4 linked regions of the Struthio camelus genome follow. The main gene of each other region encodes a partner of the protein of the gene in region 3 in a complex. Links are inferred from orthologs where the notes say so. Each region holds a gene or a part of one and is shown on either strand. Other genes may lie near its edges.

Evidence for each region.
Region 1: PPP4R2 (region 3) and PPP4C share a complex: the UniProt entries of both Homo sapiens proteins name them as parts of the PP4 complex. The link is inferred for Struthio camelus from reciprocal best matches to the Homo sapiens genes PPP4R2 and PPP4C.
Region 2: PPP4R2 (region 3) and PPP4R1 share a complex: the UniProt entries of both Homo sapiens proteins name them as parts of the PP4 complex. The link is inferred for Struthio camelus from reciprocal best matches to the Homo sapiens genes PPP4R2 and PPP4R1.
Region 4: PPP4R2 (region 3) and PPP4R3A share a complex: the UniProt entries of both Homo sapiens proteins name them as parts of the PP4 complex. The link is inferred for Struthio camelus from reciprocal best matches to the Homo sapiens genes PPP4R2 and PPP4R3A.

What each region holds. Positions count from the first base shown.
Region 1 is NC_090973.1:990,407-998,059, forward strand, and holds the start of PPP4C (serine/threonine-protein phosphatase 4 catalytic subunit), read left to right. Parts: upstream 1-4,652; 5' UTR 4,653-4,705; intron 4,706-7,533; exon of another isoform or gene 7,534-7,541; 5' UTR 7,542-7,545; coding exon 7,546-7,643; intron 7,644-7,653. Other genes in the region: ALDOA (fructose-bisphosphate aldolase A), read left to right, coding at 1,793-1,888. UniProt on the Homo sapiens protein: Protein phosphatase that is involved in many processes such as microtubule organization at centrosomes, maturation of spliceosomal snRNPs, apoptosis, DNA repair, tumor necrosis factor (TNF)-alpha signaling, activation of c-Jun N-terminal kinase MAPK8, regulation of histone acetylation, DNA damage checkpoint signaling, NF-kappa-B activation and cell migration.
Region 2 is NC_090943.1:116,180,158-116,188,021, reverse strand, and holds the start of PPP4R1 (serine/threonine-protein phosphatase 4 regulatory subunit 1), read right to left. Parts: upstream 3,008-7,864; 5' UTR 2,756-3,007; coding exon 2,749-2,755; intron 2,648-2,748; exon of another isoform or gene 2,556-2,647; coding exon of another isoform or gene 2,548-2,555; intron 2,296-2,547; coding exon 2,251-2,295; intron 2,178-2,250; exon of another isoform or gene 2,135-2,177; coding exon of another isoform or gene 2,116-2,134; exon of another isoform or gene 2,001-2,115; intron 1-2,000. UniProt on the Homo sapiens protein: Regulatory subunit of serine/threonine-protein phosphatase 4. May play a role in regulation of cell division in renal glomeruli. The PPP4C-PPP4R1 PP4 complex may play a role in dephosphorylation and regulation of HDAC3.
Region 3 is NC_090955.1:5,358,767-5,366,725, reverse strand, and holds the start of PPP4R2 (serine/threonine-protein phosphatase 4 regulatory subunit 2), read left to right. Parts: upstream 1-4,953; 5' UTR 4,954-5,119; coding exon 5,120-5,153; intron 5,154-5,816; coding exon 5,817-5,898; intron 5,899-7,959. UniProt on the Homo sapiens protein: Regulatory subunit of serine/threonine-protein phosphatase 4 (PP4). May regulate the activity of PPP4C at centrosomal microtubule organizing centers.
Region 4 is NC_090946.1:65,507,889-65,515,419, forward strand, and holds the start of PPP4R3A (serine/threonine-protein phosphatase 4 regulatory subunit 3A), read right to left. Parts: upstream 3,007-7,531; 5' UTR 2,385-3,006; coding exon 2,243-2,384; intron 1-2,242. UniProt on the Homo sapiens protein: Regulatory subunit of serine/threonine-protein phosphatase 4. May regulate the activity of PPP4C at centrosomal microtubule organizing centers.

The sequences.
Region 1 (7,653 bases), on a different chromosome or scaffold from region 3:
AGGTCCTGGTGGGATGTGGGGACATTGGGACGGGGGTCCTGGTGGGATGTGGTGACGTGGGACGTGGTGACGTGGGGATGGAGGTCCTGGTGGGACGTGGGGACGGGGGTCCTGGTGGGACGTGGTGACGTGGGGACGGGGGTCGTGGTGGGACGTGGGGACGGAGGTCCTGGTGGGAGGTGGGGACGGGGGTGCTGGTGGGACGTGGGGACATTGGGACAGGGGTCGTGGTGGGGCATGAGGACATGGGGACGGGGGTGCTGGTGGAACGTGAGGACGTGGGTGCTGGTGGGACATGGTGACATGGGGATGTGCGTCGTGGTGGGACGTGAGGACATGGGGATGTGGATTGTGGTGGGACGTGGGGACGGGGGTGCTGGTGGGACGTGGGGACGGGGGTGCTGGTGGGACGTGGGGACATGGAGATGGAGGTCCTGGTGGGACGTGGGGACGTGGGGATGGGGGTCGTGGTGGGACGTGGGGACATGGAGATGGAGGTCCTGGTGGGACGTGGTGACGTGGTGACGGGGGTCATGGTGGGACATGAGGACGTGGAGACGGAGGTCCTGGTGGGACGTGGGGACGGGGGTCGTGGTGGGACATGAGGACGTGGAGATGGAGGTCCTGGTGGGAGGTGGGGACGGGGGTCATGGTGGGACATGAGGACGTGGAGATGGAGGTCCTGGTGGGAGGTGGGGACGGGGGTCGTGGTGGGACATGAGGACGTGGAGATGGAGGTCCTGGTGGGAGGTGGGGACGTGGAGATGGAGGTCCTGGTGGGATGTGGGGACGTGGTGACGGGGGTCGTGGTGGGACATGAGGACGTGGAGATGAAGGTCCTGGTGGGACGTGGGGACGTGGAGATGGAGGTCCTGGTGGGACGTGGTGACGTGGTGATGGGGGTTGTGGTGGGACATGAGAACATGGAGATGGAGGTCCTGGTGGGAGGTGGTGACGGGGGTCGTGGTGGGACATGAGGACATGGAGATGGAGGTCCTGGTGGGACGTGGGGACGTGGAGATGGAGGTCCTGGTGGGACGTGGTGACGGGGGTCATGGTGGGACATGAGGACGTGGAGACGGAGGTCCTGGTGGGACGGGGGGACGGGGGTCGTGGTGGGACATGAGGACGTGGAGATGGAGGTCCTGGTGGGACGTGGGGACGGGGGTCGTGGTGGGACACGAGGACGTGGAGATGGAGGTCCTGGTGGGACGTGGGGACGGGGGTTGTGGTGGGACGTGGGGGCATGGAGATGAAGGTCCTGGTGGGACATAAGGACATGGGGACGTGGGTCGTGGTGGGACATGGGGACATGGGGACGTGGTGACGGGGGTCGTGGTGGGACATGAGGACGTGGAGATGAAGGTCCTGGTGGGACATGAGAACATGGGGACGTGGGTCGTGGTGGGACATGGGGATGTGGGTCCTGGTGGGACATGGGGACATGGGGACGGGGGTCGTGGTGGGACACGAGGACGTGGAGATGGAGGTCCTGGTGGGACGTGGTGATGTGGTGATGGGGGTTGTGGTGGGACATGAGAACGTGGAGATGGAGGTCCTGGTGGGACGTGGTGACGTGGTGATGGGGGTTGTGGTGGGACGTGAGGACGTGGAGATGGAGGTCCTGGTGGGACGTGGTGACGTGGTGATGGGGGTTGTGGTGGGACATGAGAACGTGGAGATGGAGGTCCTGGTGGGACGTGGTGACATGGGGACGGGGGTCCTGGTGGGACGGGGGGACGGGGGGAGCGCGGGCGTCCGCGGCGTGACGCGCGGCTCCCTGCGCCCGCAGGCCAACTCGCTGGCGTGCCAGGGCAAGTACGCGCCCAGCGGGCCGGCGGGGGCCGCCGCCAGCGAGTCCCTCTTCATCTCCAACCACGCCTACTGAGGGGCCCCGGCGTCCGGGGCCGCCCCGCCCCCCCCCCGCCGCCGCCGCCTCTCCCGCTCCGGCAATAAACGGCATCTGCCTCCGCACCCGCGTCTTGGGGGGCCCGGGCGGCCGGGGGAGGGGACCCAGGTGTCCGGGGAGGGGCCCAGGTGTCCGGGGAGGGGCCCAGGTGTCCGGGAGGGGCCCAGGTGTCCCGGAGGGAACCAAGCGTCTGTAATGGGCCCAGGTGTCCGGGGAGCGGCCCAGGCGTCCTGGAGGGACCCAGGTGTCCAGGAAGGGGCCCAGGCGTCCTGGAGGGACCCAGGTGTCCAGGGAGGGGGCCCAGGAGTCCAGGGAGGGGCCCAGGCATCCGGGGAGGGACCCAGGTGTCCAGGGAGGGGCCCTGGCGTCCGGGAGGGAACCAAGTGTCTGTAATGGGCCCAGCTGTCCGGGGAGGGACCCAGCTGTCCGGGGAGGGACCCAGGCGTCTGAGAGGGGCCCAGGCATCCGGGAAGGGCCCAGGTGTCCTGGAAGGACCCAGGCGTCTGGGGAGGGGGCCCAGGAGTCCAGGGAAGGGCAGAGATGTCCGGAGAGGGGCCCAGGCGTCCCGGAGGGAACCAAGCGTCTGTAATGGGCCCAGGCATCTGGGAGGGACCCAGGTGTCCGGGGGAGGGGCCCAGGCGTCTGGGAGGGGCCCAGGCGTCCTGGAGGGACCCAGGTGTCCAGGAAGGGGCCCAGGCGTCCTGGAGGGACCCAGGCGTCCTGGAGGGACCCAGGAGTCCAGGGAGGGGCCCAGGCATCCGGGGAGGGACCCAGGTGTCCAGGGAGGGGCCCTGGCGTCCCGGAGGGAACCAAGTGTCTGTAATGGGCCCAGGTGTCCGGGGGGACCCAGGTGTCCGGGGAGGGGCCCAGGTGTCCGGGGAGGGGCCCAGGCGTCTGAGAGGGGCCCAGGCGTCCGGGAAGGGCCCAGGTGTCCGGGGGAGGGGGCCCAGGCGTCCGGGGACGGGGGCCCAAGCGTCCGGGAAGGACCAGGGCATCCGGGGAGGGCCCAGGTGTCCGGGAGGGCCCAGGCGTCCGGGGAGGAGGCCCAGGAGTCTGGGAAGGACCAGGGCATCCGGGAAGGGGCCCAGGTGTCCCGGAGGGAAGCAAGCGTCTGTAATGGGCCCAGGTGTCCGGGGAAGGGGCCCAGGTGTCCGGGGAGGGGCCCAGGTGTCCGGGAGGGGCCCAGGTGTCCGGGAGGGAACCAAGCGTCTGTAATGGGCCCAGGTGTCCGGGGAGCGGCCCAGGCGTCCTGGAGGGACCCAGGTGTCCAGGAAGGGGCCCAGGCGTCCTGGAGGGACCCAGGTGTCCAGGGAGGGGGCCCAGGAGTCCAGGGAGGGGCCCAGGCATCCGGGGAGGGACCCAGGCATCCGGGGAGGGGCCCTGGCGTCCCGGAGGGAACCAAGTGTCTGTAATGGGCCCAGGTGTCCGGGGAGGGACCCAGCTGTCCGGGGAGGGGCCCAGGGGTCCGGGGAGGGGCCCAGGCATCCGGGGAGGGACCCAGGCGTCTGAGAGGGGCCCAGGCATCCGGGAAGGGCCCAGGTGTCCTGGAAGGACCCAGGCGTCTGGGGAGGGGGCCCAGGAGTCCGGGGAAGGGCAGAGATGTCCGGAGAGGGGCCCAGGCGTCCCAGAGGGAACCAAGCGTCTGTAATGGGCCCAGGTGTCCGGGGAGGGACCCAGGTGTCCGGGGAGGGGCCCAGGCGTCTGGGGAAGGGCCCAGGGAAGGGCCGAGGTGTCTGGGGAGGGACCTAGGTGTCTGGGAGGGGCCCTGGCATCCGGGAGGGACCCAGGCGGCTGGGAGGGCCCAGGCATCCGGGGAGGGGTCCAGGTGTCTGGGAGGGGCCCAGGCGTCCGGGAGGGGCCCAGGTGTCCGGGCAGGAAGGGGCCCAGGAGTCCAGGAGGGCCCAGGTGTTCGGGAGGGCCTAGGTGTCCAGGAAGGGGCCCAGGCGTCCGGGGAGGGACCGAGGTGTCTGGGGAGGGCCCAGGCATCCGGGGAGGGGCCCAGGCGTCCGGGAAGGACCCAGGTGTCCTGACAAGGACCCAGGAGTCCGGGGAGGGGCCCAGGTGTCCGGGAGGGGCCCAGGCGTCCGGGGGGACCCAGGTGTCCGGGGAGGGACCCAGGCATCTGGGGAGGGACCCAGGAGTTCGGGAGGGGCCCAGGCATCCGGGAGGGGCCCAGGAGTCCAGGGAAGGACCCAGGCATCTGGGAGGGACCCAGGTGTCTGGGAGGGGCCCAGGTGTCCAGGAGGGGCCCAGGCGTCCGGGAGGGGCCCAGGCATCCAGGGAGGGGCCCAGGCATCCAGGGAGGGGCCCAGGAGTCCAGGGAAGGACCCAGGTGTCCGGGAGGGGCCCAGGCATCTGGGAGGGACCCAGGTGTCCGGGAGGGGCCCAGGCATCTGGGAGGGACCCAGGCGTCCGGGGAGGGGCCCAGGCGTCCGGGGAGGGGCCCAGGAGTCCGGGAGGGGCCCAGGAGTCCGGGGAAGGACCCAGGTGTCCGGGAAGGACCCAGGAGTCCGGGAGGGACCCAGGAGTCCGGGGAAGGACCCAGGCGTCCGGGGAGGGGCCCAGGCGTCCGGGGAGGGGCCCAGGCGTCCGGGGAGGGGCCCAGGTGTCCTGGAGGGCCCAGGCGCCCTGGGGAAGGGCCCAGGCGTCCGGGGAGCCCCCGGCGAGCTCTCCCCGCCCACTGGCTCGCGCCCCGTGACGTCACGCCCTGCGGGGCGGCCCTCCCGCACGTCACTTCCGTCCCGCCGGTGGGCGGGGCCGGGGCCGGAAGTGACGCGCGGCGGCGGCGGCGGCCGGGTGCGACCCGCGGCGGGTTCGGGGGTCGCCGGGGGGGTTCGGGGGGGGCCGGTTGGGGGCCGGTTGGTTTTTGGGGGCGGCTGGGGGGTTCTAGGGGCGGTGTGGGGGGGTTGGGGGGGTAGTTGGGGTGTTGCGGGGGCGGTTTGGGGGGGGTTGGGGGCAGGTTGGGGGGTTTTGGGGGTGTTTTGGGGGTGTTTGGGGGCAGTTTGGGGGTTTTGGGGGTGTTTGGGGGCAGTTGGGGGGTAGTTGGGGTGTTGCGGGGGCGGTTTGGGGGGTTTTGGGTACAGGTGGAGGGGGTTGGGGGCGGTTTGGGGGTGTTTGGGGGCAGGTTGGGGGGTTTCGGGGGTGTTTGGGGGCAGTTGGGGGTTTGGGGGCAGTTTGGGGGGTAGTTGGGGGTAGTTGGGGTGTTGGGGCAGTTTGAGGGGGTTGGGGGCGGTTTCGGGGTGTTTGGGGACAGGTTGGGTGTTTTGGGGCAGTTCGGGGGTAGTTGGGGTGTTGGGGCGGTTAGGGGGGTTGTTTGGGGGCAGGTTGGGGGGTTTCGGGGGTGTTTGGGGGCAGTTTGGGGGTAGTTGGGGTGTTGCGGGGGCGGTTTGGGGGGTTTTGGGTACAGGTGGAGGGGGTTGGGGGCGGTTTGGGGGTGTTTGGGGGCAGGTTGGGGGGTTTTGGGGGTGTTTGGGGGCAGTTGGGGGGTTTTGGGGGTGTTTGGGTGCAGTTGGGGGTTTGGGGGCAGTTTGGGGGGCAGCTGGGGGTAGTTGGGGTGTTGTGGGGGCAGTTTGAGGGGGTTGGGGGTGGTTTCGGGGTGTTTGGGGACAGGTTGGGTGTTTTGGGGCAGTTCGGGGGTAGTTGGGGTGTTGGGGCGGTTTGGGGGGTTGTTTGGGGGCAGGTTGGGGGGTTTTGGGGGTCTTTGGGGGTAGTTGGGGTATTGGGGCAGTTTGAGGGGTTTTGGGGACAGTTTGAGGGGGTTGGGGGTGTTTGGGGGCAGGTTGGGGGTTTTGGGGGGCAGTTGGGGGTAGTTGGGGTGTTGTGGGGGTAGTTTGAGGGGGTTGGGAGCGGTTTGGGGACAGTTTGGAGGTTTTGGGGGTCTTTGGGGGCAGTTTGGGGGTAGTTGGGGTGTTGTGGGGGCAGTTTGAGGGGGTTAGGAGCAGTTTGGGGGTGTTTGGGGACAGGTTGGGGGTTTGGGGGTCTTTTGGGACAGTTTGGGGGCAGTTTGGGTTTTGGGGACAGTTTGAGGGGTTTGGGGGCAGGTTTGGGGTAGTTGGGGTGTTGTGGGGGCAGTTTGGGGGGTTTGGGGACAGTTTGGGGGGTGTTTGGGGGTGGTTTTGGGGGTCTTTGGGGGCAGTTGGGGTTTTGGGGCAGTTTGGGGGAGTTTGGGACATTTTGGAGGGTCTTTGGGGGCAGTTTGGGGGGCAGTTTGGGGGTAGATGGGGTGTTGGGACGGTTTGGGGGGGTTGGGGGTGGTTTTGGGGGTGTTGGAGGGTCTTTGGGGGTAGTTTGGAGGGTTTGGGGGCAGTTTGGGGGTAGTTGGGGTGTTGTGGGGGCAGTTTGGGGGCTTTGGTGACAGTTTGAGGGGGTGGGAGCAGTTTGGGGGGTGTTTGGGGGCGGTTTTGGGGGTCTTTGGAGGCGGTTGAGGTTTTGGGGCAGTTTGGGGGTTTTGGGACAGTTTGGGGGGGTTTGGAGGCTGTTGGCGTAGGTGACAGTTTGGGGGCAGTTTGGGGACAGCTGGGGGGATATTTGGGGGCAGTTTGAGGGATTTTGGGGGCCACTTGCGGTTTGGGGGCAGTTTGGGGCAGTTTGAGGGGTTTCGGGGGGCGGTTTGAGGGGTTTGGGGAGACTTGAAGGGATTCAGGGGCTGTTGGGGGAGTTTGGGGGAGCCGGAGGGATTTCGGGGGCAGTTGGGAGGGTTTTGGCTCCGTTGGCGAGGGGGGTGGGCAGGTTTGGGGGGGACGTTTTGGATTTGGGGGGCAATTGAGGGGATTTAGGGGACAGTTGGGGGGAGTTGGGGGGGCAATGGGGGCCCGTTGGGATGTTTTGCAGAGCGCTGGCGCGATTTGGGGTCAGGCTGGGGGTTTTTTTTGGGAGCGGTGGGGGGGGGTCACTTTGGGGGTCTTTAGGGGCACTTGGGGATTTTTGGGTCACTTTGGGGGTCGTCGGGGGGTCGGGGGGGCCGTTGGGGCCTTGGGGGGGGCATTTGGGGGTCGTCGGGGGGTTGGGGGGGCCGTTGGGGCCTTGGGGGGGCATTTGGGGGTCGTCGGGGGGTTGGGGGGGCCGTTGGGGCCTGGGGGGGCATTTGGGGGGTGCAAGCGGAGTTGGGGGGGTCTGGGGGCAATTGAAGGCAACGGAGGGGCAGTTCAGGGGGGGCTGGGGGGGGCTTTTGGGGGGGTGGAGGGCAACTGAGGGGTCCGGGGAGCGATTAGGGGCTCGGGGGGGGTAATTAGGGGCTGTTGGGGGCACTTGGGGGTGTCGGGGGCAGTTAGGGGCTTGAGGGGGGGCTGTTAGGGGCATTTGGGGGGCAATTGGGGGTGCTGGGGGGCAGTTAGGGCATTGGGGGGGCTATTGAGCAGGTAGGGAGTCGGGGGGCAATTAGGGGTGGGGGGCAACGAGGAGGGGGGCTGTGGTGTCCGGGGGGGGCAATTAGGGGTTGTGGGGGGGGTTAATTAGCCCTGATGGGGGGGGCAATTACCGTCCCCCCCCCAAGTGGCCATTTCACGTCACCTGGGATTGACGAGCCAGCACCGATGGGGGGGGGACGAGCCTAGCTGCCGTTGGGGAAAAGGGGGCAAAATTAAGTCATGGGGGTAATTAGGGGGGGCTAATTAACAGTTAATTAGGGGGGCAGGGCCATGGGGGAGCCGAGCGACCTGGACCGGCAGATCGAGCAGCTGCGGCGCTGCGAGCTCATCAAGGAGAGCGAGGTGAAGGCCCTCTGCGCCAAGGCCAGGTACCCCGGG
Region 2 (7,864 bases), on a different chromosome or scaffold from region 3:
TCCAGTGTAGTTTGCAGATGAGATGTTTTTATTGTTGCTGCTTGATACCCAGTCAATTAAAAAACACAAAGATTTACTGAAAATCTATGCCAGCCAGTCTATCTCATCTCAGTCTTTTCTTATAATTCATACTATCTTACATTTACATAATTTCTAAGTTATACCACTTGGACTACAGGTATGCCCACGCTTCCTTTTCCTTGCTTGTCCTTACTATAGCTTAGCACATCTAATAGCAAGACCACAGCTGGCAGAACTGCACACGCATAAAAGCTGCCTGCACTTCCAGTGTCCTCACAAGTACATTCTACTACTTCCGGAATACGTCTCAAAACCAGTTTCTAACTCCAATGCTGAAAACAGTAGCTTTCAAACGTACAACAGAGAGGTACTGTAGGCTGGGGTTTCAGGCCTGGGAAAGCCAGGCAAAAATTGCAGCGTTTGTCGTTTTTTTTGAAACTGCCTATTTCACATGTGCAAACATGAAATGTAATCCTAAATAATGCATCAACTGGGAAAGCTTTCATAAATTGCATAAGACCTGTTGTACATAGATACAAAGCATGACTATTTCAAAGAAGTGTAAGAAATAACGCTATCGACTACATACATACAGTCTCTTCAGTCTGTGTTATTTTTCTTTAGCTCATGTCCACCTCTCGAAAACAAAATCACATAAAATTCAAAACTGTAGAAGACATCAGGTGTGACCAAATTATGTCCAGACAGCACATGCTGTTTCATGCAGATTCCTGCTTTCTCTAAAAATAATACACTTAAGTAATGAGCTATTCACTTTTATCTACTTCCATCAGAACCTCACTAATTTTTTATGAGGCTTCAAATTTTTAGATTTCTATGGCTGCTGCCTTCAAAATGCTCTCATCTGAACTGAGTCATATCTCCATGCATATATAATTTCTTCCTTTTTAAAGGCAAGACTGCAACATTCAAGCCACCTCCAGGAACCCAAGGATTACAAATCATCTCTCTAAAGACTATAATCATTTCTTACTTCAACTACTGTCTTACAGTCAAGAAAAAAAAAAATCACAGTCTAAGTGGAAATTAAAAAAAGACATACATTCTTAAAAGTGTGACACTTTTCTAAAAGTCCTCACCTAATCACAAAGTTTTCAAACAGCTACACTACCAATCTGATTTTCAAGCAATCAGAACTGGGTGGCGAGGGGGAGGAGAGTCTTACAAAAAGGCTCTCTCTTTGTGCAAGGCAATACACAACATAAAAAGAAATAGAACAAATTTTAATCAGTTCACAAAACAGAAGACAACTAAGATGTTTCCAGTTAACTTCTGGAAAGTGTAAATAACATTCCCAGAAGCATTTAAGCCAAGAAAGCTTTTACTGCTGCAATCTAGTCCTTGTGAAGGCTGCACAGTAGACAAAGTACCTTCAGACAGTGACAAGGGTCTGCAAACCTACAGCAGACCGCATAGCCGAAGCCTATGCTATGAATCACCTCAAGAAGAGCTGACGCCTCCATTTTCACTTTCTATATAAAATTCATCTGGCTTCCAAGTTCTTTTAACACTGACACTACCCATATACGTCCTTCTCACCTGCATTCACGTTGCACAGCCCTCACTTTCAACCTTCATACCTCTGAACTAGCACTTTGAACGGGAATCATGTACTGCAACTTGCCCCCCCCCCCGACGTAACACTTTCCCAAACATCGATTCTCCTTCTCCCCATCAGTTGCAAGAAGAAGGGGGCTGAGTGGGGGGGGGGGACACCAAAACAAAACAAACTCCACAGGCCTCAGGCTCGAGAGCACCCACCCGGCTCATTCCTCCTGAGAAGCTCCCCACGCAATTCAGGAGCGATGACCGCCCCCTCCCCACCCGCTCCCCCCCTTCCCCGCCTTAACGGCTGCCGCGCGAGGGACGCGGCCCTCGCGCGACGACCGTTAACGGCAGCTCCCCGGCGCGCCCGCCCAACGCAGCGCGTTTCCCTGCGGCCGCGTTAGCCCGCTTACAGCAGCCCCTCACTCCAGCCTGCCCCGCTCCGCAAGCCCCCACCGCCGCCGCCGCCAGGAAAAGCCCTGCTCAGCCCGGCCTTGCCCCCCGCACGCCCGGCTGGATTTTATGTACATAAGGAAGCGCGGAGCATGGCCTCCTCCTCCTCCTCCCACAATGCACCGTGGGCATTCACATTTGAAGCTACTTCCTCAACCGCAAAAAAGCCCCCGGCCCGTGGCCGCCCCAGCGCCCCCCGGCCCCACTCACAGCCGTCTATCTCCTCCTGCAGGTCCTCCTGGAGCAGCGACAGATCTGCGGGAGACACACAATGTGCCAACGCGCCCCGGCGCATTTCACCGCCGCCGCCCCCCGCGTGTCCCCACGCCCCCACTCACCCACCCACCCACGGGGCCCCGCCGCCCGCACGCGCCGGGGCCGCGCTTTGCACCCGCGCAGCCCGCCCGCCGCGCCCCCCCCTCCACCAGGGGAGGGGACCCCCACGCACGCACCTTACCGGCGCGCCCACGCGCGAGCCCGCCCCGCGGACCCCCTCCCCCGCCCCACCTTCGCATGCCAACCCCACCCCGGCGGCTCCCCACGCACGGACGGAGACACGGGGAGGGGGCGCCGCTGCGGGAAGCGCTTCCTAAACCGGGGCGGGGGAGAAGGAGGAGGGGAGAGGAGGGGGGAGGAGGGCTCTGGTGCCTCGCTAGGGAGGCGGCGTGTGTGGAAAGGGGGAGGATGGAAGGGGGGGGTGCTACCTACCCGCCATTTTGCTGTAGCCCCCACGGGGTGCCGGGCTACATTGAACCCGCTGCGGAGCGGCGAAGCGGGGCGGCGGCGGCGGGGGGGGGGGGCAGGCCCGGCGCGGCGGCGGCGGCGGCGGCGGCGGCGGCAGCGGCGGCGGCAGCGTCTCCCAGTGTCCCCGAGAGAGCGGCGCAAGGAGCGGGCGGGCGCAGGAAGGCGGGAGGAGGGGTCTGGGCTGGACACGCTGCCCCCGCCTCCGCCCGGCGGAGCCGCGCTCGCACCCGGCCTCGCCTCGCCTCGCCTCGCCTCCCCGCCCCTCGCACTGACTCACGCCCGGAGCCGCCCAGCCCTGCCCGCGGGCGCCGCGGCCGGGGCACAGCGGGGGGCCACCGCCTCCCGGCCGCCCCGCTCACCTGGCCGCGCCGCTGGCCCCAGCCCCGCCGCTGGCGGACCCCCCCCCCCCAGCCGCCCGCTCTGCCGGGGCCTGAGCCCGCTTGGCACTGACGCCGCTTCCCCTTGGCCCGGCCGGCTCCTTCCTAGCGTCTTCCCCCTCCCCTCCCACCCCCCGCCGCCTCTCAAAAGGCTCCGGCTCCCCCGCTCCGCACCGCCTGGCGTTGGTGCTGCCCCGGCTGCTGGCGGTGAAGCCAGGCGGCCCTGCCCTCGCCCGAGGGGTCCCCACTTCGGGCTTCGTGGGGTCACCCCGGCGAGAAGGGTCGCTGCGAAGCGGGCAGGCCGCAAAAGTCTGCGCCTTTGGGCTTTGTGGGGTCACCTGCCAGGTGTCCCGGCCACGAAAGTCCTCCCGCGAGCTTTTTAGTGCCACCCTGCAGAGAAGGGTCCCCACGAGGCGGCCGGGTCACAAAAGTCCCGGCTTTGGGGCTTTGTGAGGTCACCCTGCAGAGAACCGTCACCGCAAAGCGGCCGGGCCACCACCCGGACACCTCGGCCGGCTTAGCCAGCCGGCAACCTCCTGCCTGGCGCGTAACTCGCGTGGAGGCACCTCTACAGTTCGGCTGGTGAACCGGCCCTCCGAAACCGGGGGTGTTTTTGTCATTAATTGTACTTATTTTGATAGATTTTTCCACTGTAAATTGGAAGATTATAGAAGCTGGATAAAACAAATGCTCTAATTTGCAGCTACCCGTAGCACTTGCTAAAGAAAAGGACCGTTACCGAAACTGATGCTAACTGGGAGTCTTGAGTGTTCCACCATCTTTTTGTTATCTCTGTAATCATCTTTGGTGTTGTTAAGATATAGAATAGCAAAACAAGTTTTTTTTTGTCCATTTTATTCAGAAGGGATGCAATTTTAGTAGATCAATTTTTAACTCAACAGGGTTGACGTCATGTCTTGTAAGTAGTTTTTTAATACCGAACCATTGTTTTCATTTTATTTTGTGAATCACTTAAGGATTTAATCCCTATAGTAATTCCTTCTTTTTGCCATAGTGGCTGAAAATGTATAATCTTTCTTGAAACTGCACACATCCTTTTCCTTCCATTCCTGTAAGAACAAACTGCTTTCTTTCACAGCTGTTCAAACCTTAGAGAAATCACTAGGGCCCACTGGATGCAGATTATCCAGCATTTCTTTCATTCAAATATATAACCTTAAAAACTGAGTAAATCAAGTAAATTCACCATGACTACATGATATGGACCATGCTATTCTCTACCAGTGTAATTTAAGAGAAGACTCGGTAGAAATATTTGACATCACAAATAGCTGGCGATGCTGGATATGATAGCAATAGGCCTAGAACACAAAAATAAAGCATACTCAAAGAACAACTTTTTATTAGCTCCATTACTGTACATTACTTCCAGGAAGGTTTCTTTCTTCTCCACGTTACAGTCTTCACCATAATCAAGGCCTGGTTTTCTTCTTCTGAAGTCAGTAGCAATTGCCTAAAATGTATGCACTTGCTGTTCTTGAAGGAACCAAGGTTTTCCGTTCCTTTTTCCTACTCGTTACAAACAGGTAGTAATGCATACTAAATATAGATTACTATGGTCTGAGAGCATCAAAACTACCTTGACCATTTATGTAATAGAACAGGGTAAAATGATGAATGCAAGAGAGCATACTTGACATAATTTAACACCAATTTTGGGGTCTTCCTATGTGAATGGGGTATTCCTAAGTGGTGGTTAGTTCTTTGTTTGTAGGTGGGAATATGGATAGGGTCAGGGTGATTTACAAGACAAATTATAACTGCTCAGGAATTGCTTTTTTGTTTCTCCTACAAGTGAACTAGTAGACTGTTTTCCTCAGATGAAACTGGTCCTAGTACCATTGTTAGTAGTCAGCAGGAAAGGTCTCTTCCTATGCAAATAAAAATACTGAGGCAAAAACTTTGGCTCATACCGTGACACATACGTGGAGAAAAATCCCTTTTTTGGCTTCATGCCACCACACAAAACCAAATCCCACATAATGAATAAGTAACTAGATAGCCCTACTTCTAAACTTCCTGGCTTAAGGAGACCATAAATTCTATACCTTGATCTCCCCAGACACTATTTAAGGGCCTAACCTAAAGTTCAGGTTAATTGTCAGATTCCTACTGGTCACAAACAAGGCAAATAGAAACCTTCTAAGTATATTCTAAGAATACGCACTGATTCTCTCAGATAGTGTGATGAGCCGACTTTCATAAAATAATGTATCTAATTCTGAAAGAAAAATTTCATAAGAAACTTCTCATTTTATTAGCTGAAGCGTGTTAAGGATACTTTTGCACCTACCAAAATATTCTAGCCCATTTTGTGCTGGTGTTCTAATAATCTGTTTGACTACCCTTAAAGGCATTGGAAAATAAGAAATTTAAGGCATAGATAAACTCAAGTTTGAACGCTATATCCCAAGAAAAATACGCTCAAAGGATGGACGCCAAGGCTATGAATGAGAAGATACAAATGGAAGACACTGTGGCAAGAGTCTTCACGTGTGATAGAAGACATCTTTATTGCTATATATACGTGACTTATCTCAGAAAAGCCCATAGCAATTAACAAGATCCTTATAGTATTTATATAAAGTACTTCATAAATCTTTTCAAAACTACAAAAATGACCAAGTTAAACACAAGATACCTCATATCCACCTGAGTGTATTTGCAAAAAGTTATTCTGAAGTTGGGTTACTGACATTTCTTCAGTCAAAACTGCTGCAGGCATAAAGGCCTCAGGCTCGAGAACACTGCAGGCCCAAGAACTCACACGTGAAAATATCTTATTTGCTCTCCTTTGCTGTGAAGAAGTAAGTCTCCTTGTTTGATCAGAAAACAATGCCAGGCTTTCAATGACCGCAAGTTAACCCGCTTTGCGTTTCTCCCAGGCTTCCCTTCCTGTGTGGGAAGTCCTTCCCATAAATATCTGCAAAGCCATCTTGCTACCTTCCTTCAGATTCCTCCTCAAAAACTCTCTTTTCCTGTAAAGCCTACAAAAAACTTTTTTCAGGGTTAGACTTCTGGTGCACTGAGACAACTGCTCATCCTCTTGAGTAATACTGACTCATAGTTTTCTTGCCCTCCCCCGGGATTCTGTCTGCATACATCTGTTGTCTCTTGCTTTACGGTAAAACAATGAGTTGTCTACTTTATAGACCATCTTTTTGTTCTTTTTGTAGTGTCTAGCTCAAACTGGCCCATGACTGAAGCTCACAAGCATTAGACTATATATACCCACATAAACAAATGAGTACCTATAATACAAATGGACATATGTAAAAACCTGGAGGCTGAAGCCTGAAACATGTTAATTTTGCATTTGAAAATACATCATCTATTGGAGCATTTATGCTAAAAAGGGCTGTACATTGTAAAGCCTTCTCTTCCCTTCCCTTTCCTATTACCTGTTGTGCTTTTCTCTCCCCCAGTAAAAAATACCTGAGTTCTTTTTTTTTTTTTGACTCATCACTCGTGGATGACAAATTTTTTGATTGTGCACCACAGTTTTATTTAATTTCCCCATTTTCCTGAGTAAGAGCCTGAGCTGGTGATTATTTGTGAATATCAGAATGCAGCTGTCACTGCTCCAAGTGCAGGCCTCGCAGAAAGATTGTAAACAATATACATATTAGTAATTTTGCTGACTGCACGTGAATAGTTGTACCTGTTCAGGACTCTGCTGAGATACAGGATTTGATGGATCTAGGAGGCTTTTTGGTATGACAGCCATGAATGAATTAGTCTAAATTTGCTGACAAAGAACTTTGCTAACGTAAAGTTAAGTTTGCCTCGTGGGTATCTCATGTCATTGCAGGAAGTCAAGTTCAGTGATAATTAAACTTCTGAAAACTAGCACGTACAAAACTGAGGCACCTACTAATGCAACCTTAAGGCTGCACTGGGAGCTTGCAATGGCTACTGGCATTTATTTGTAGGCAAACCTATTGCATCAGTGGCATGAGATGGTAGCGGAGTTGTGTGTGGTCAAAAGAAAGAGAGGCGTGTTTATTACGAGGGAGCCCACAAGCCTCCTTTTGCTGCAGACACCATCAGTGGTAAATCCCCAGCTCCTTTGGCTGAGGGCACTGCTTGAGTGGGTCCTGTGAGGTATATGGTGGGCAACTTGAAAGTCTGCCTCTATATCTGATCTTGTAGGTGCGCAAGTGAAAGAGGACAAAGAATTAATGTACATGAAGTTGTTTCAGGGATCTGTGTCTCAGCGTTTGGGTGCAGCATACTCAACGGAAATGCACACACGCACACACACAGGGAATGCTCTTGCAGTACCACTCACCTGAACGCAGGTTTTCCTTTAACAGAGCTGTGCTACAGCCGTCAGCTGCTCTGTGTCAGGAATGATGTGTGTGGTCCTGCGTACGTATTGCATGGGAAGACTGAATCACTGCTCAAACAGGACAGAATTCAGGGTGGGCTGATGTGCCGTAGCTCTGGATTTCCTGGTTCTCGGAAGTCTATGTCCCACTGACATACTGGAAGAAAACGTGACAGGGCGACCACAAACTGAGAACCTTTTCCATGCTGAAATGCCTCTTGCAGATTTTGTTTTTAAATAGAGAGAAAAAGAAACAATGTCTGAACTTCGACTATTTCAAGAAATTACAGCCACCACATAGGTATGCACCTGGAACATTATTGTAGCTAGTCACTGGTATCCTCCCCTTTCA
Region 3 (7,959 bases):
ATATCTTCAGAACATACAGTTGTCTGCCTTTTTTTTATGATTCTGAAGAGGACCCAATCTCGTAAAATGTCTACATTTTGTCATTTTAATTCAAACTTTCTTCCAGCGCTAAGATATTTGTAACCAGCACATAATGTTTTGTCTGTCTTCCAAAAACTTTGGTTTTGTCTGGCTAACAATAAGCAAGCAGGGATGATCCCGCAAAGGGCAGTGATCCAATTAAGCTTACTGAACAGAATTACAGGTTAAAATGGCACACTTAACAGCATTGTTCAGTTTTCTTTATGCACCCCTTACAAACCTGTGTAAAATATAAAATGCTGTCATTTTTACTTGGTAAAAATAGATTTAGATTTAGGATAGGTTTGTCATCTATTCTGACCAAATGGAAGGAATCAGACAAGCTGCTAACAATGAAAAGTCAATGTTAGTATATGGTTTGTTTACTTGTGAATTCTACCGCATTTTGAAATAAAGATCTTCCTGCAATGCCATTCCCAGTGTATCACTGTAGTAATTTATTTAATATACTACAAATGTGATAAGTGCTACACTTCAAAAGATGTAAGTCCACTTTTCTCAAACTAGGAAATAAAAGGATTGGAAGGAAATGAGAGGTGGTCTTCCTCTACCAGCTAAATCCTGCAGAAATTATGATATTAACTTACACCTTGTTTCTAGAAACAAGATCTGAGCATCTGTGGCTCCTAATGGCATTACCTATCCTCAGAGCAGCATCCGTGTTACAGAGCAGTGCCAATTAGATTTATAACTTGCAAATAACAAAGGTACAAAAGGTAATAGGGCTCCAAGCGTACCTACCACATGATACAGCTGTAGACTCAAACCTCACTTGCTACTTTCTGAGTGCAAAGAAGTGGCTCTAAAGTACTTAATTAAAAGGTTATATGAGTGTGTTATGTTCTATTACAAGCTGTTGAATTAGTTCTATATTTCTGTACAGAATGTAGTAGAGGAATTTAGAAAAAAACATATTCCTTTTTATTCCCTGCAACTAGCTTTTTAACTGAAGAAATGCTATGTTGTCCCAGTTTTCAATATTAATTCTAGGTGTCTTGGGAACGCTTTTAATTTTTTTTCTGTTTTAGCAGAACAGGCTAGCAGCACAGCTTTTCAAATTGACGGTAATTATGGTCTTTATTGTGTTCTTGGTGATACCTCCAAATGGAATGGGATGTTGTTTAGGAAGATTGAATTTGCTCTCATAGGGGTTTTTAAGTGGGTTGTCTAACTGTACTAGACTTTAAAATGTATGTTTATGCCTCTTCTAGGCTTGTTTTGGCTGTTGGGATTCTTTAACAGCAGTCATGCTGGGAAATGCAGTTCCTCAGGAAGAGCTGAAAATTGAGGGCATGTGACCACCTTTGAGAATTATTATAAAGAACAAGCTGTGCTGTGGATGAGAGCCGATATGGTATCTGGGGGTAAATGTAGTCTGCTAGGATATAGACATGATTTAAGAGAACCTGTGCCCTATGTTCTCCACTGTTCTGTTTTGCTGAAGGTTAAAAAGGTAAGCTAGTTTTTTGTTACTTTAACTGGACTTTTATACCTCTTTTGTAATAATAAAGTGGATCCCAAGGAAAAGAACATAGGCTAACCTGTAATCTGAATTGTATGTTCCTTTTCTATTGCCAGTGCATCTGCTTACAGGCCTCAGCACTTCTGTTTTCATTTCCATATCCACTGTTTGCTTTGAAACCTTCCCCTGTCCTCTGTCAAGTCTTTTCTCAATGCAGTTCCTTTCTTGTTGAAGAGATTTTTTCACTTGCTTGCCATGAGTACCCACTGATGTTTTGGGGGAGGACATTAATACCGTAGAGAGTAGATTATTGTCCAAGCAAACTAATTTAGTTTCGGTTTGTAGAGATTTCTAATCCTAGAAGGGTAAACATACTACAGAGGGCATGAGATGGGGAAAGTCATGGTAGCAGAGCTGCAAGGGCAGGAGAGCTACTAATACAAATTGTTAACAGTGCCCTTGGCTAACTTCAGAGAAAACAATTCAGTATTCATTTCTCTTAAGAATATATGCCTTAGCTCTGCTGTTACTCATTCTTTCAGCATGTTTTTATGATGAACAAAGTGATCAGAAGAAAATGGTAGCTAAATTCATTAAGGTTTTATTAATTCCACCTCATGCGCTGATTTTTTTTTCCCCCACGGGTTGGGGCAAGTCCTGTCTTTGTCTCTGTGGTTCTTTGTGTGCTTAATAGGGCTAGTGATGCTGGCCCGAGGCAAGGGAATCCCTAACGCAAGAGAAATGTACAAGAAGGTAAAAGTGCCAAGTCCTAAGTATTGTTGGGATTTTTCATGTCCAGTAGGGAATGTGATTTTCCTTTATAAAAAGCTGAGAATTGATCCATGGCACAAAATAGACGATGCCTTTGTAAAGCATTTAGAAGTAGCAGCACTTGGAGCTAGACTTTCAACAACTTTCAGCTATTCATACTTAGTCAGAGAGAGCCCCAAAGTATTAAATCTGAAGTACCTCTATCTGCTCTAAACTATTTTTGAAGTTTATGAGAGACACTTTCCCTAAACTCCCTGTCATAGCATAGCACAAGCTTCAGTCACCTTGAGCTCAGTTTCTACCTCCCTTATTTTGTATTGGACCTGATCTGCAACAGTTTAATCTCTTAAAATGGCATCCTATAACAAATTGTCTCAACAGTCTTAAGTGCCACTCTTCCTCTTTTATTAGGAGATGAGAGCAAGGCATGGTGCATGTTTGGCCCTGACAGGTACCTTAAACAGCAGGGCCCGTCCCATGTGGTTGGCTTGGTCGACTGCTGCTTCCCTTTTTCCCTTCACCTTTTGATCAGATGAAGGGAGAGGGGACCACAGAGGTTCATTCACTGCCCTCTCTACTCAGCATTTCTGTGCCCTATTGCAGCTTTTACAAAGATTTGTTGTTAAGGAAGGTTTTTCACAGAACAGTATAGAACAAGGGATTTGTACTGCTCATCTGTAAATATGAAACCTTAGATATTCCTGTTAGTATTGTATAGTTCTAAGGTCAGAGACCCTGAGGGTCATCTAGAAGGTCTAGACCATACAGGTCTTGATTCCAGAAGCCAGATGAAAGTTAGGGTTCCTATATGATGAAAATGCCAACACAGACTGTTAATTCCACAGCCTGGATATTCCTACATGATACAATCAACACAAGGAACCAGAGAAAATATCTTTCAGCAAGGATGTGCTTGCCATAGGTACCAAGGTTGTCTTTTAGCCATTTATGGTGGTCCTCAAACCTGATCATTCAGCTATGATGTTAGCAGCAGTTGTAAGAAACGGAGCTGTATCAGAGGTTCTCTGGTACGTTATCGACCTGGGAGAGCAGAAAAGTCAGTTCAGCCACAGGCATTATTATCTTTTTAGGGACTGCTCTGAAACGGTACGATAGATCCGGGACTCACAGGGCAGGCCAAGAGTGGTGGGGACGGGACCTGCTTCGCCGTGCGCGGGGCAGGAGGGCCGTCAGCATGCGCATGAGGCCTCCAGAGGCGCCTGGGCCACCCTCCAGGTCTATATCAGGATTGTACCTAATAGTAAATTACAGCAGATGCGCCGGCTCACACATGCCTAGAGTAACAGTTGGCATCGATATTTGGCTACCTTTTTCACAACATCTCTCTCTCTCTCTTTTTTTTTTTTAACAAGCATTTCCATTTTTTTTTGCAGAAGTGTCCACAGCAGGCGAGTCCATATGCCAATGGCTGGCTAAAACCAGCCGACAGGCGTCTCCCCCTCGCCCGGACCCCGGCCACCGCCGCTTCAGCCTGGACTCTGCCCCGATCCCCTCCTTGCTCATTCGGAGCCTTTTCCAGAAGGAGCGACTGCCTGGCCTTCACCACCACGTTTTTAGGGACCTTTTCCAGAAGGGACCAAGTGCCTGGGCTTCACCACGTTTTTAGGGACCTTCTCCAGAAGGGACTGACTGCTCGGCCTTCACCACCGTGTTTTTAGGGACCTTCTCCACAAGGGACCGACTGTCTGGCCTTCACCACCACATTTTTAGGGACCTTTTCCAGAAGGGACCGAGTGCCTGGCCTTCACCACCACGTTTTTAGGGACCTTTTCCAGAAGGGACTGAGTGCCTGGCCTTCACCACCACGTTTTTAGGGACCTTTTCCAGAAGGGACTGAGTGCCTGGCCTTCACCACCACGTTTTTAGGGACCTTTTCCAGAAGGGACTGAGTGTCCGGCCTTCACCACCGTGTTTTTAGGGACCATCTCCAGAAGGGAGCGACTGCCTGGCCTTCACCACCACGTTTTTAGGGACCTTTTCCAGAAGGGACTGACTGCTCGGGCTTCACCACCGTGTTTTTAGGGACCATCTCCAGAAGGGAGCGACTGCCTGGCCTTCACCACCGCGTTTTTAGGGACCATCTCCAGAAGGGAGCGACTGCCTGGCCTTCACCACCGCGTTTTTAGGGACCTTTTCCAGAAGGGAGTGACTGCCTGGCCTTCACCACCACTTTTTTAGGGACCTTTTCCAGAAGGGACCGAGTGCCTGGGCTTCACCACGTTTTTAGGGACCTTCTCCAGAAGGGACTGAGTGCCTGGCCTTCACCACTGTGTTTTTAGAGACCTTCTCCAGAAGGGACCGACTGCCCCGACTTCTCCACCACGTTTTTAGGTGTGGTGAGAAGAAGGGAGCGTCCTACGCGGTCAGTACTGGGGGCGGGGAGGAGCCGCCTGGTTAGGAGGCGCCTCTCGTGTCGCGGCTGTGCGTGGGCAGAGGCGGGAGGGCGGGAGCCGCCTCGAGCAGGACAGCAGCGCGGCAGGGCCACCCCCGCCCCGCCTGAGGCGGCCGCAACCGCCGCCCCTCCACTCCGCCCCGCCCCGCCCCGCGCGCGGCGGCGGCCCCGCCCCCCGCGCGCCACCGCCGCCCCGCCCCGCCCCCCCGGCGGGAGAGGGGGAGGGCCGTCGGGGCCGCGCACGGGGACGGCCCGGGCGCCATGTTGGAGGGTTGCTGAGCCCCGCGTCTGTCTGTCTGTCTGTGTGTGTGTCTGTGTGTGCGCGGCGGCCGGAGCCCGTGTGCTGCGCGGGCTGGGGAGGGGGGGGGCGCGGGGGGACGCCCGGGCGGATCATGGACGTCGAGCGGCTGCAGGAGGCTCTGAAAGGTGGCGCCGGGCGGGGGAAAGCGGCGGTGGCGGGGGGGGGGGGGGAGCTGTGTCCCCTCACGCTGAGGCGGGCGCGGGGGGGGGTCTCTGTGGGGGCGGTGGGGGAGGGGGAAGCCGAGGCCTGGCCCCAGCGCCCCGACAGCCACCGGGGGGGTTGGGGGGGGGTGGCGGCCGCCGGTCCCTCCGCTCCGGCCCCGGGCCGTCCTCGCCGCTGCCCCCGGGCCGGGGCCGGGGTCGGGGCCGGCCTGCGCTGCCGCTTCCCTCGGCCAGGCGCACGGACTCCCCCCCCGGCCCGGTCCTGTGGCAGCTCGTCTGGCTGGACGCAGCCTGAGGAAATCGGCCTCTCTCGCTCTCTCTTTCTCTCTCTCTCCACCCTCCCCCCCCCCGGTAGCTGCTCAAAAGAAGTTACAAATCAACTTTTTGCCCCTGGGATGTGTGTAGTTTTCTTCACACGAGAAGTATCAAGTGTTTTGCAGGGTTGGAGGGCTGGGGGAGCTCTTGGGAACAAACTGAGGAAGTGTGGAAATGTCTTTTTTTGGGGGGGTGGGGGGAAGGGGGGAGCTGTGCGGATAGTTGAAGCAAATCGATGCCTAATTGTTACGAATTTTTGTCCTGTCCTCTCTTCTTTTCCTATTGCTTTCGTGTTCTTCCTCGTACCAACAGATTTTGAGAAGAGAGGAAAGAAGGAAGTGTGTCCAATACTGGATCAGTTTCTTTGTCATGTTGCTAAGACCGGAGAGACCATGTAAGTGTGTGACTTCTTGGTTGATCTTCAGTTGTAGCTTATAAAGTTTCCCACGTTTTAAGTGAATGAGATGATACCTTTTTTTTTTTTTTTTTTTTGGATCTGTAGAATGATTCCATGAGCTAAATAAGCTTGCTGTAGTTCTCAGTGTAACTTTGAATGATTAGTTTCATTTGAGGATAGAATTAGTTTTTTTCTAACAGAGAGCACAGATAGCTTTTTTTTTTTGTATAGACTTTGCTCAGGCTTATCTCTCAGGTTTTATTGATGCTGCTCCATACAGTAAACCTGTTGCTTTTTCTGCGTTTTACGTGACATTCAGGTTTTTTAAACTGAAAGTTTAGCGCGTTGTTGCAATGTCCGTTGTACGCAGTAGTATTGTTTACACAGGGATACGAATGGTTCAGATCAAATTTTCCAGGCTTTGTGTAACTTGCTGTGCGATGATTGCGTCTAGATGCTTTCCAGGAGGAGGGGAGAACCACCCAGGAGCTCTCTGCAGAGAGGCGCAGGGGCAAACTTGTTACCCTGCCTTTCAGTGGTCTCTCGTGTTTTTTCAGCTGGCCCCAAAGTGCTTCTGTTTCACTTTTCCTGGGCTTCCTTTTGTGGAGGGCCAGTGGGATTTGGGCCCGCGGGCGCTGTGGGGAGCGGGGTTACCGCGCTCCTTGTCAAGGATGAGGCCGGTGCTGCTGGGGGTGACTTCCTGCTTGAGCACTATTTGGCAGGAAGGGGAAAGGCTTCCATGGGTGCCATGCTGCAGGTGGCTCACTTTCTGGCACTCAGGCTGTCTCCTTGTTTTTGAGGCCTAGCGCCAGACTACACAGGCTTTAGCGATACATGCTTTTACCGGTGCTTTATTAGCAACTAGTGATTTGCAGGGGCTTTGTTCTGATTTCTAGAATCCCTCTCACTCGTAAGAGGTGTCTTTACCTTTTTCTTTTTTTTTTTTAATAGCTTGCTAGTACTATTTAAATTAATAGTTTTGAAAGAAAAACAAGTTCTGAAATGTACTTTGCCCTTTGAATGGAAGGCTTTGGCTCAGCAGAAAAATATACAGCTGTAATGCTTAATATTCTAGAATAACACTCATTTTAGTATGGGCCTAAGGTAGTGGTTTTGTTTGTGTAGTGTGTTTAAAATATTCTTCCTGTTCTGAAATGTTTCTTAAGGCTTTTTTTTCTTGTTTATGCCACTGTTACATATATTCCAAAGCAATTTTTAAAAGCAATTGTATAGGGGTGATTTCTTAAGAAAATTCTTCCTGAGGTAAAACTTGAGAGTATAGTTATTATATGTTCTGAATTTAAAAAAAAAAAAATCTAGATTTTCCAAATGTAAACAAGAACAAGAGTTTATTTGATTATTGCAAACTATTGCTTAATCCGGAACTCAAATCTATCATCTGGAACTTCATGCAGGCCCTGGCCTTGTATGTATTCAGGGTTTTTTTTTTTTTTTTTTAAAGCTCTATAGCTTTTTTCAACATTCTTGGACCTTGCAGTTGCACTAAATTGTTTTTTTAAAAGTGTCAGACACACTTCAGACATCCGAAGTATCCAATATCATCTGGAGACAGACATGGAAATACTGCTCAGTACCACTTTATTTGCTTCCCGTTATCCATCAGAGTCTATATTTCTTCATCTGATATAGTGATATTTTCATTAATATGTTATATATAAAAATATCAGGAGGAAATTGATAGCAAAATGTCCTGGTGGGCATTCATAACAGGGAATATGTATTTATAAGAATTTAATGTATGTTTTTAGAATACAGGCTAGACTACTGTAACACTGATATTTTAAAAGTGTACCTGAGTACACAAACTTGTCAGATGCGTGTTGATTCACACTGAGCTAAACGTTCTTTATTTCCTTTCATGTAAAAAAACCTTTTACTTAAAAGAAATCCAGAACAGTAAGACATAGATTTCATCCTCTAGTTCCAAGACAATCCAAAATAATAGTTTGCAGTGACATTTATTAGTATTTTTATGAATTTCAGGTTTCAGTTTGAAAAACTGGATGGTTAAGTCAGGAGTAATTACACAAATGGTTT
Region 4 (7,531 bases), on a different chromosome or scaffold from region 3:
GTTTTTGATAAATGAAGTGGTTGACCATGATTTTTCTAGTTAGGAGAAAAACAAGAGCTATGGAATACAACAAATTTCATAGTATCTAAAACATAAGTCTGGCATCACCTTTTTTCAAATCATTTGCCTGCATTTATAAGTGACTGCATCTGCCTTCAAAATTAGCTTACAAACCAATTACCAGGGTAAACAAAATATAAATCAAATTTTAGGAGGTGTTTGCGCAAGCAAGCTAGAAAAACTAAGCCTATTAATAGACTGCACATTTGACCAGGACTGATCCTACCTACTAAATTAAGAACTTTAGCTCTGTATATTATTCAATACTGTTAAAGTATATGCTGTTTGAGAAAAGTCCAATGTGTGTATTAAATAACTGCAGCTAATGCACAGAAGCATAAGTTTGAACAACTCCTTCTTTAACTATTTTAGTGTCTGAACTGTGTAGCACTGAAAGTAATGACTCCACATTTCCTCTGAGATCACTCACACCAGTTTATATTTTCCTTTTTACAGAAGTTCATTTACAATAAGTAAGCTGGCAACAGCAGTTGAACTCAGGTACAAATCAGTTTTAAACATACATATCCCACCTAAAGTTGCTAAAATGGTATTTTAGTTTGAATGGACAATTACTTGAAATCAAGTTACCAACTGCAGTACTTTTGCTTTCTTCTGTTAAGAAAAGGAAAAAAAAATCAGAAACTTTAATCATTAGAGTATAAAAACAGGACATGACAGTATTTAAACATTAGCTAAGAGAGTCTCCTGAGTACAGCAGCCATGTAGACAGCAAGGACTATATCTACAGTAAAATATACTGGAACACAGGATTAGTTTAAAAGTTGAGTGATGACCTTCCTTCTCTTTTAACCTCCCTCACTCATGTCGAAACTAAACTAAGTCTACTTCCATTTTGAATGTTTTGTCATACACTAGGAAGCTGGTCAAACCAAAATAAAGACCATAGCTTCTTTAGTAAAAGAAAACTAAAAAACAAGTCTTGAAGACAAACAAGTCTTAAAGACATCTTGTCTTAAACACAAGACTTTAAAGAATAATTAATAAACTACAAAAATCTGAGATTCATGCTTATCAGAAACTTAATGATCAAAATCCTGCTCAGATGCAAATTTGACTCCTCCATATCTGCGTATTATCTCTTTATTGTAGAGACTGCTGTACAGTTTGTCAGAACTTTCTCAGACATGAGATGATTCTGGAGCTGCCTCTCATCCAAGTTTCTATAATGAAAAGGCCAGATAAAATAACAATAATAAAAATAAAACGCCTATTGCCAGGCACAAGTCACAACTAGATCTTTAAGTCACTAGATAGAGTGGCTATATATTTAATGAAAAAGTCAGTCACGCATTGACAGACTTTACTAGCAAAATAGTACACACGAGGTATTGCAAGATACGCTGTTTAAAATCTGTTCGGACCGCAGCAGTCAGGAAATCACTCATCCAATAACCAAGACTAGTCCAAACATGTAGCTACAGGGGTAAATATTACTACCACTTAAACTGTAGTAGGTTTTGCCAAAAATCGTGAAGGATTATGCATCATCTTAAGTTTATTTACAGGCAGATCTAAAACTGCTGAAGGATTGAAAAATACTATTTCAAGAAAAAAAATAAAGCATCTCTGAAAATGCTATTCTGTCCATTGTGTTGTCTTTACTACTACAACTGCACATTGATAATTATTGTTAGCTGCTAGTGCCCTGTAAAATCTTACTACCAAAGAAAACAGGGTGAAAAAAGAAAGAAAAATAAAGGATGTTAGCCATCTAATCATCCAATGACTTTTTTTTTTTTAAATCCCTCCAAAAGTATGGTCTAAGTTTTAAGCAACTCCCTTCATGAGGGGGTTGCTTCCAGAAACATCCAAGGAAGCATTCACAATGATCAGTTTTGGGTCTGGAGTAGACTAGGTATCATCAGATACCCAATCTTGCACAAGACTTGCAATTAGACTTCATTGTATTTGGCATGCAGTACTGTATTCACTACGAACCAAGTGCCTACTACAATGTTTGCACTTGATGGCAATCGTCCATTCCTTTCACTTGGCCTAACAAGAATGAACTATGGCTGATGCCTACTTGCTTTCAGGAATTACATTCGAATTATGCAGCAAAACGTTAAGGCAAGAGACATACATATAAAGCCAACTCCTACTCCTTTTTGGAGTAGGACGAGGAAAGGCTCTAACAGCTTCACATATACACACTTACCATCACTCTCTGCCCTGACTAGCAGGGACATGCCCTTCAGCCTCTCCACGTAGCAAGAGGACACATGCCCTGTGCCTCGATCGTCCCACTGGCGGTCTTCATTTAGCGTGTACACCTTCACCCTCCGCCGGGTGTCAGTCATCCTGCCGCCTGCCACACCACTGCCACCACCCTGGCTTGCAAGACCTGAAGAAGCGGGAGGTTGGCGGGGGGCTCGGCCCCCCTCAAAGGAGGGGAGCGGGAAGGAGGGTAGCAGCCCCACACGGGCACGCCAGGAGAGCTCTTCTTAGTCCTCTTCAGTGCTCCAACACGATCTTCATTATCGGCAGTAACAGAGGATTGGGGGGGGGGGGGCAGGAAGGGGGGCCGAGGCGGTGAAAGGCGAGCTGTTCCAGGGACAGTTAGGTGCTGCACAAGAGGCGACCAAGCCTAAGCTGGGGAGAGCCGCGGAGAGGCTCCTTGCGGGGCGAAGGGCAGGCAGAAGCGGCGGCCAGGAAGGGGTCCCGGAGGAGAAGCGGCTCCACAGGGCTGGAGGGGCCAGCCGAAGGCACGGGCGGCGGCGGCCGGCCGACCGACCGGCCCGGGCTGACAGGAGCGGGCGACCCGGCAGGCCGGGGCCCTGGCGACGGGCTCGGCGCGGCCGGCAGGAGCAAGCAGGCGGCGGGAGGCAGGCGGGAGCGGGGCCGCTCGCCCCGGCCCGAGCGCGGCTCTATTGTGCGGCAGCTGCCCAGGCCCGAAGCCCCTGGCTCGCCGTCCGTCAGCGCGGGGCTCCCAGGAACCGCCCTCCTTCCCCGGCGGGGCTCGCGTGGGGCCGGCGGGCACCGCCTGTCCCGCGGCGGGGCGGAGCGCGCGGCCGGGCTCAGCGCCCCGTCTCCCCCATGGGCTCCCGTCGCGGGCGGCGGATCACTCCCAGCCCGACTCCGCCGCCATATTCTTCTTCCTCCTCCTCCTCCTCCTCCTCCTGCCGGTGCTGCGGCGGCGGCGGCTCACTCGCGGCTCCTCAGCGCGCCCTGCGGCGTGGCCGCACTCCAGGCACTCAGCGGCGCAGCCGGCAGGCGGGAGCTCTGCCCAGCCGAAGGGGCGAGCGGCGGCGGCGTGGCGCGGCCCGTCCAGCCCGGCTCCCACCGCCTCTGTCTCCGCCTCAGTCACTGCGCGGCCGCCATCTTGGTTTCACCTCTCACTGGAGGCGCGGGGTCTCCCAGCCAGCGGCGGCACGGGCCGCCCGCCAGCGCTTAAAGGGCCAGCCGCCCCGCTGCGGCCGGGGTCCGGCGCCGGCCCCGCGCTTCCTTCCGCGCCCACGCGTGGCCGCAGCGCCCACGCCTCGCCGCCTGGCACCGCGCAGCCCCCGTCACGCAGCACGCTGCCTCTGCCGTCCCTGCCGGGCAGCACACACGTGGCCCCGCGCGGCCGTGGGCGCCGTGAGGCCGGGCGGGGGTGCCGCCAGGGGGAGCAGACCGTGGGGTTGTCGCGGCTGTTTTGTTGCGCGCGTCTGGAGCCGTCCTCTTGCCAAAGAGTGGTTTCATGGGGCGGGGGGGGGAATCGGATCTTTTTTTGGTTGTTTTTTTTCCCCCCGTCGCCCCCTGCTGAGTGATCCAAAAGTTAAACGGCTTCTGGTCGAGCGGCTCTTGGGTCTGCGCGACCTCTAACAATTGCAGTAACAAGCCGAAGCTGTTGAGCCTCTGCTTTTGCCGCTGCTGCCAACATCTGAACATATGTTTGACAGATTCCCCTTTTAAGGATGGATCAATATTAAATAACAAAAAAAAAAACCACAGGCAAAAACCACTAGTGCCTTTTGGAGCCCACAGACATATCGCCACGCAAGCGAGTCCATTTCAGAACATGGTCTGGACATGCTACGTACATGGGAGCTCACTGCAATTTATATACTTAGATTGGCTTATTTTTCAAAGTATTCCATATTTGTTTATGAAAGTGAGTTATGTTGGGGCTGATATAATTACTGGCTTGGAAGGACTTGGTTTTCTGAGAACCGTAGGTTATGGGCCCTGTTGAAGGGAGGCCCTCCAGCAGCACGGGCACAAAAAGGCGCTCAGCGCCCCCGTCTTGGTGACCGAGGAAGCCCCCGGGTGGCCATACCTGGGGAGGTGCTGCTCACGCGTTTATCTTGGGCAATTCTGGAGATGGATTTTTGTGACTTCAAAACAGGCCAACGTCACCTACAGAAACCTCTGTGGGACAGCTGCACTCATTTACAAATTGTACCCTCTGGTGGCCGTGGGATTAACAATAGACTATTCTTTTGGTTTTTTATTTTTTTTGGTGAATTCAAAAAAAGCTCAATCAGATTTTAGTTGGCATAGAAAGTTAGCTTTGTGCACATTTGGGGTTCAGCTTTTCTTAATTTTCTTTGTATTATCTTAATATCAATCTGAACAATGCTCAGTCCTACAGTATGCCCGCTGTCAGGTTTTATCTCAATTCTCATTGTATTTGGTGGGGGATGTCATTTTTTTCGAAACTTTCCACCGCAGTGATGCCAGAAGAAAGGCTGGGCATTGACGGCATCCTCCCATGATGGAAAGCAGATGCCAAAGAAGAAAACACTCAGTTTATTTTTCTCAGAGTCATGATTTAGAAGACAAAATTTGCCACGTGACATCTCAATTCCTTCTCCATTTCCAGAGGTATGAAGTATTGTGTGTCCCAAAGGAAATATCTTCAGGGATTCTCCTGATATTGAGAGGTCATCCTTAACTGAACCAAAAGCTTAGGCTCACTTAGTTCCTGTAAATAACCCAGCACCTTGTCCTGGCAGTAGTTTTGGCCCACCTGGAACTGAGTAATAAATAAGGAAATGGAGTATTGAACACAGTTTTAAACCTTTCATATCCTTAGATATATAAATGCATATGGATCAATATACTAATGAATAAAGCCTAGAAGGGGTTTACTACTGAGGGCCTCCTGCACAGCAGTCAGAACTAAGGAAGATGACTTTTTTCCTTCAATATCTGCTCACAGCTTTGGGAAAGAAAATTACATTGTTAGGAGGAACTCCATTGCAGACATATATCTTGAAGGTATGCACTAAAGCATGATTAGAGCTCCTAAAAACATAGCTAATGATTTTCTGACAAAAAAAAATCATATTAGAGAAATTAACAACTTCAGACTTTATTATGATAAAGATGAAAAAATTATTAAAATCAAAGTCTCTGCTTGCCTGAGTTTGATATGGTTACATTCTGTATGTGAAAACAAGGTTAAAATCCATACTAAATAGAGCACAGAGAACTGGCTGTCTAGAGGGCTTATATCCAAAAAACTGTGGAAAATGAGTGACTGAGAAGAAACATTATATAGAAAAATTGTAGCAAAGTAGGGGGTGTCTGTCCAGAAGAAATTAAGCGGGACATAACTCAGACAGCAAATTCAGAAAAATACATTTCTAGTTCAATGGGGAGGTGAACACAACAGTTAGAAATAAACATAAACAACAAGTAGAAAAATGACAATTCTAGCAATCTGCGCAATAAAGCTAGAAAGCATAGAAAAATGGATGAGGACATCAGAATATGTATGGCTGGTAGTTTTAGGAACAGCTCAAGTTTTCCAAATCTTAACGGTATCCCAGGCCTATGATATCACAACTAAAAAATTTTTGATATTGATACAAAAAGTAGAACTGTTTAACATTTTTTTCTATACTTGGAAAGAATTTTGATGTATTTATATCATATGAAGATGACTAAGTGCCTCCCTGTTCATTACTAAGAAGCACACTAAATAACTTATCTTAGAGATAAACATTTGAAAATATGCAAGTCCTAAAAAATTGGAATTTGGGAGTCCTAAAGAAGTTTGCATATGTGAGGTATGAAAACATGCTAATTTTTTAAGAAGCTGCAAGTATTGCAGAAATTCTGCAAGACATGACACTTTGTAAGAATTCAAATAGGACATGTTGGAACAGATAGATAATAATGGACTGATTTATCTGACAACAATCACAGACCAACAATAAATACCGATACACAGTATCGGTAAGAATTATAAGATTAGAACATAGCGATAGCAGCTGATGTGGCTTTATGGAAAAAAGACTTTCAAAATTGTTTAATCTCTTGTTAGATTACAAAGTTGCTTGTAAGAGTAATGGTGCAGATATAATATACTTGGATAGTTCTCAGGTATTTTTCTGGAAAGTCGGCATTGTATGCTATCAAGAAAGCCCACGCCACATGGGTCAGATGCTGAGAGACAGGCATAGCTCAGAACCATTATTCAGTGGAGGTGACTCCAGATAATCGTGCAGAAATCAAGAGTGGGACTGATGCTGTTTAGGATTTGTAGTAATAATTAGAAAGTTAATATAAAATCTCTGAATGAAAATTGTGTATGGCAGAGAGAGACTGGAAGAGTTATAAATATTGCTGAGGACAGAGTGGTCAGGAACAGCTTGGTTCACTTACTGAAAGCCCTGACTGACGAGAAGGGATGGCTTAGCCTGGGACAGCTGCGAAGGTTACTGGCAGCTGCTTCTGGCCTATTCTGGCTGTACAAATGTCTGTGAGCTCACGAAGCACCTCCCAAATTGTGACAGCGTTTTTAAGGCAAACAGTGACGCTTTTCCTTAAACTTTGAGCTGTAAACTGGGTTGATTGAGGAGCTGATGGATAAGCAGCTCTGACATCCAGAGAAGAAGGCAGGGTGGGCAGCTGGGGATGTCCTGGTCGTGCTCTAACTTAGACCTCTTGAGTGGGACCATTGAGATATAGCACAATACAAGACAACACCTATAAAAGTTAAAGCACCTCTGGAAGAGGCTGGGCTGCATAGCGAACAAGCAATTCAATACTAACTTCTTACATGAGTCTAAAAGGGCTAATACCTTTTGGGTGCATTGTAAGCCAGCAAGCTGTGGAAGAATTCAACATCAGGACTATAGCTTTAATGCAATGTTTTTATAACTCTGGTGTCATTGTTTAAAGATTTTGAGAAACTGAAATGGGGCAGAAAGGATTCCCCTTAATGACTGTATATTTTGCAGATCGAGGGTTGGCTCACTTCAGCATCTCAAATTCCTGCTGTATGCACAGTTTTGCACACATACCCTATGAATCATGTCTCAGATGCTGTTGCTCAGTTTTCACATCCTGCCACAGATCCCCCTAGAAACAGTAGCCCTGTTTTTATACCTGAACCACAAACCTGAACTTGTGTCAGCAGTTAAAGTTCTGTGACTCTTCCTCCTACGTAGTGTGCGTATGAATCCCTTCAACAGAAAGGTCATCTATTTTCTTTCAACCCATACTGTTATCTTAT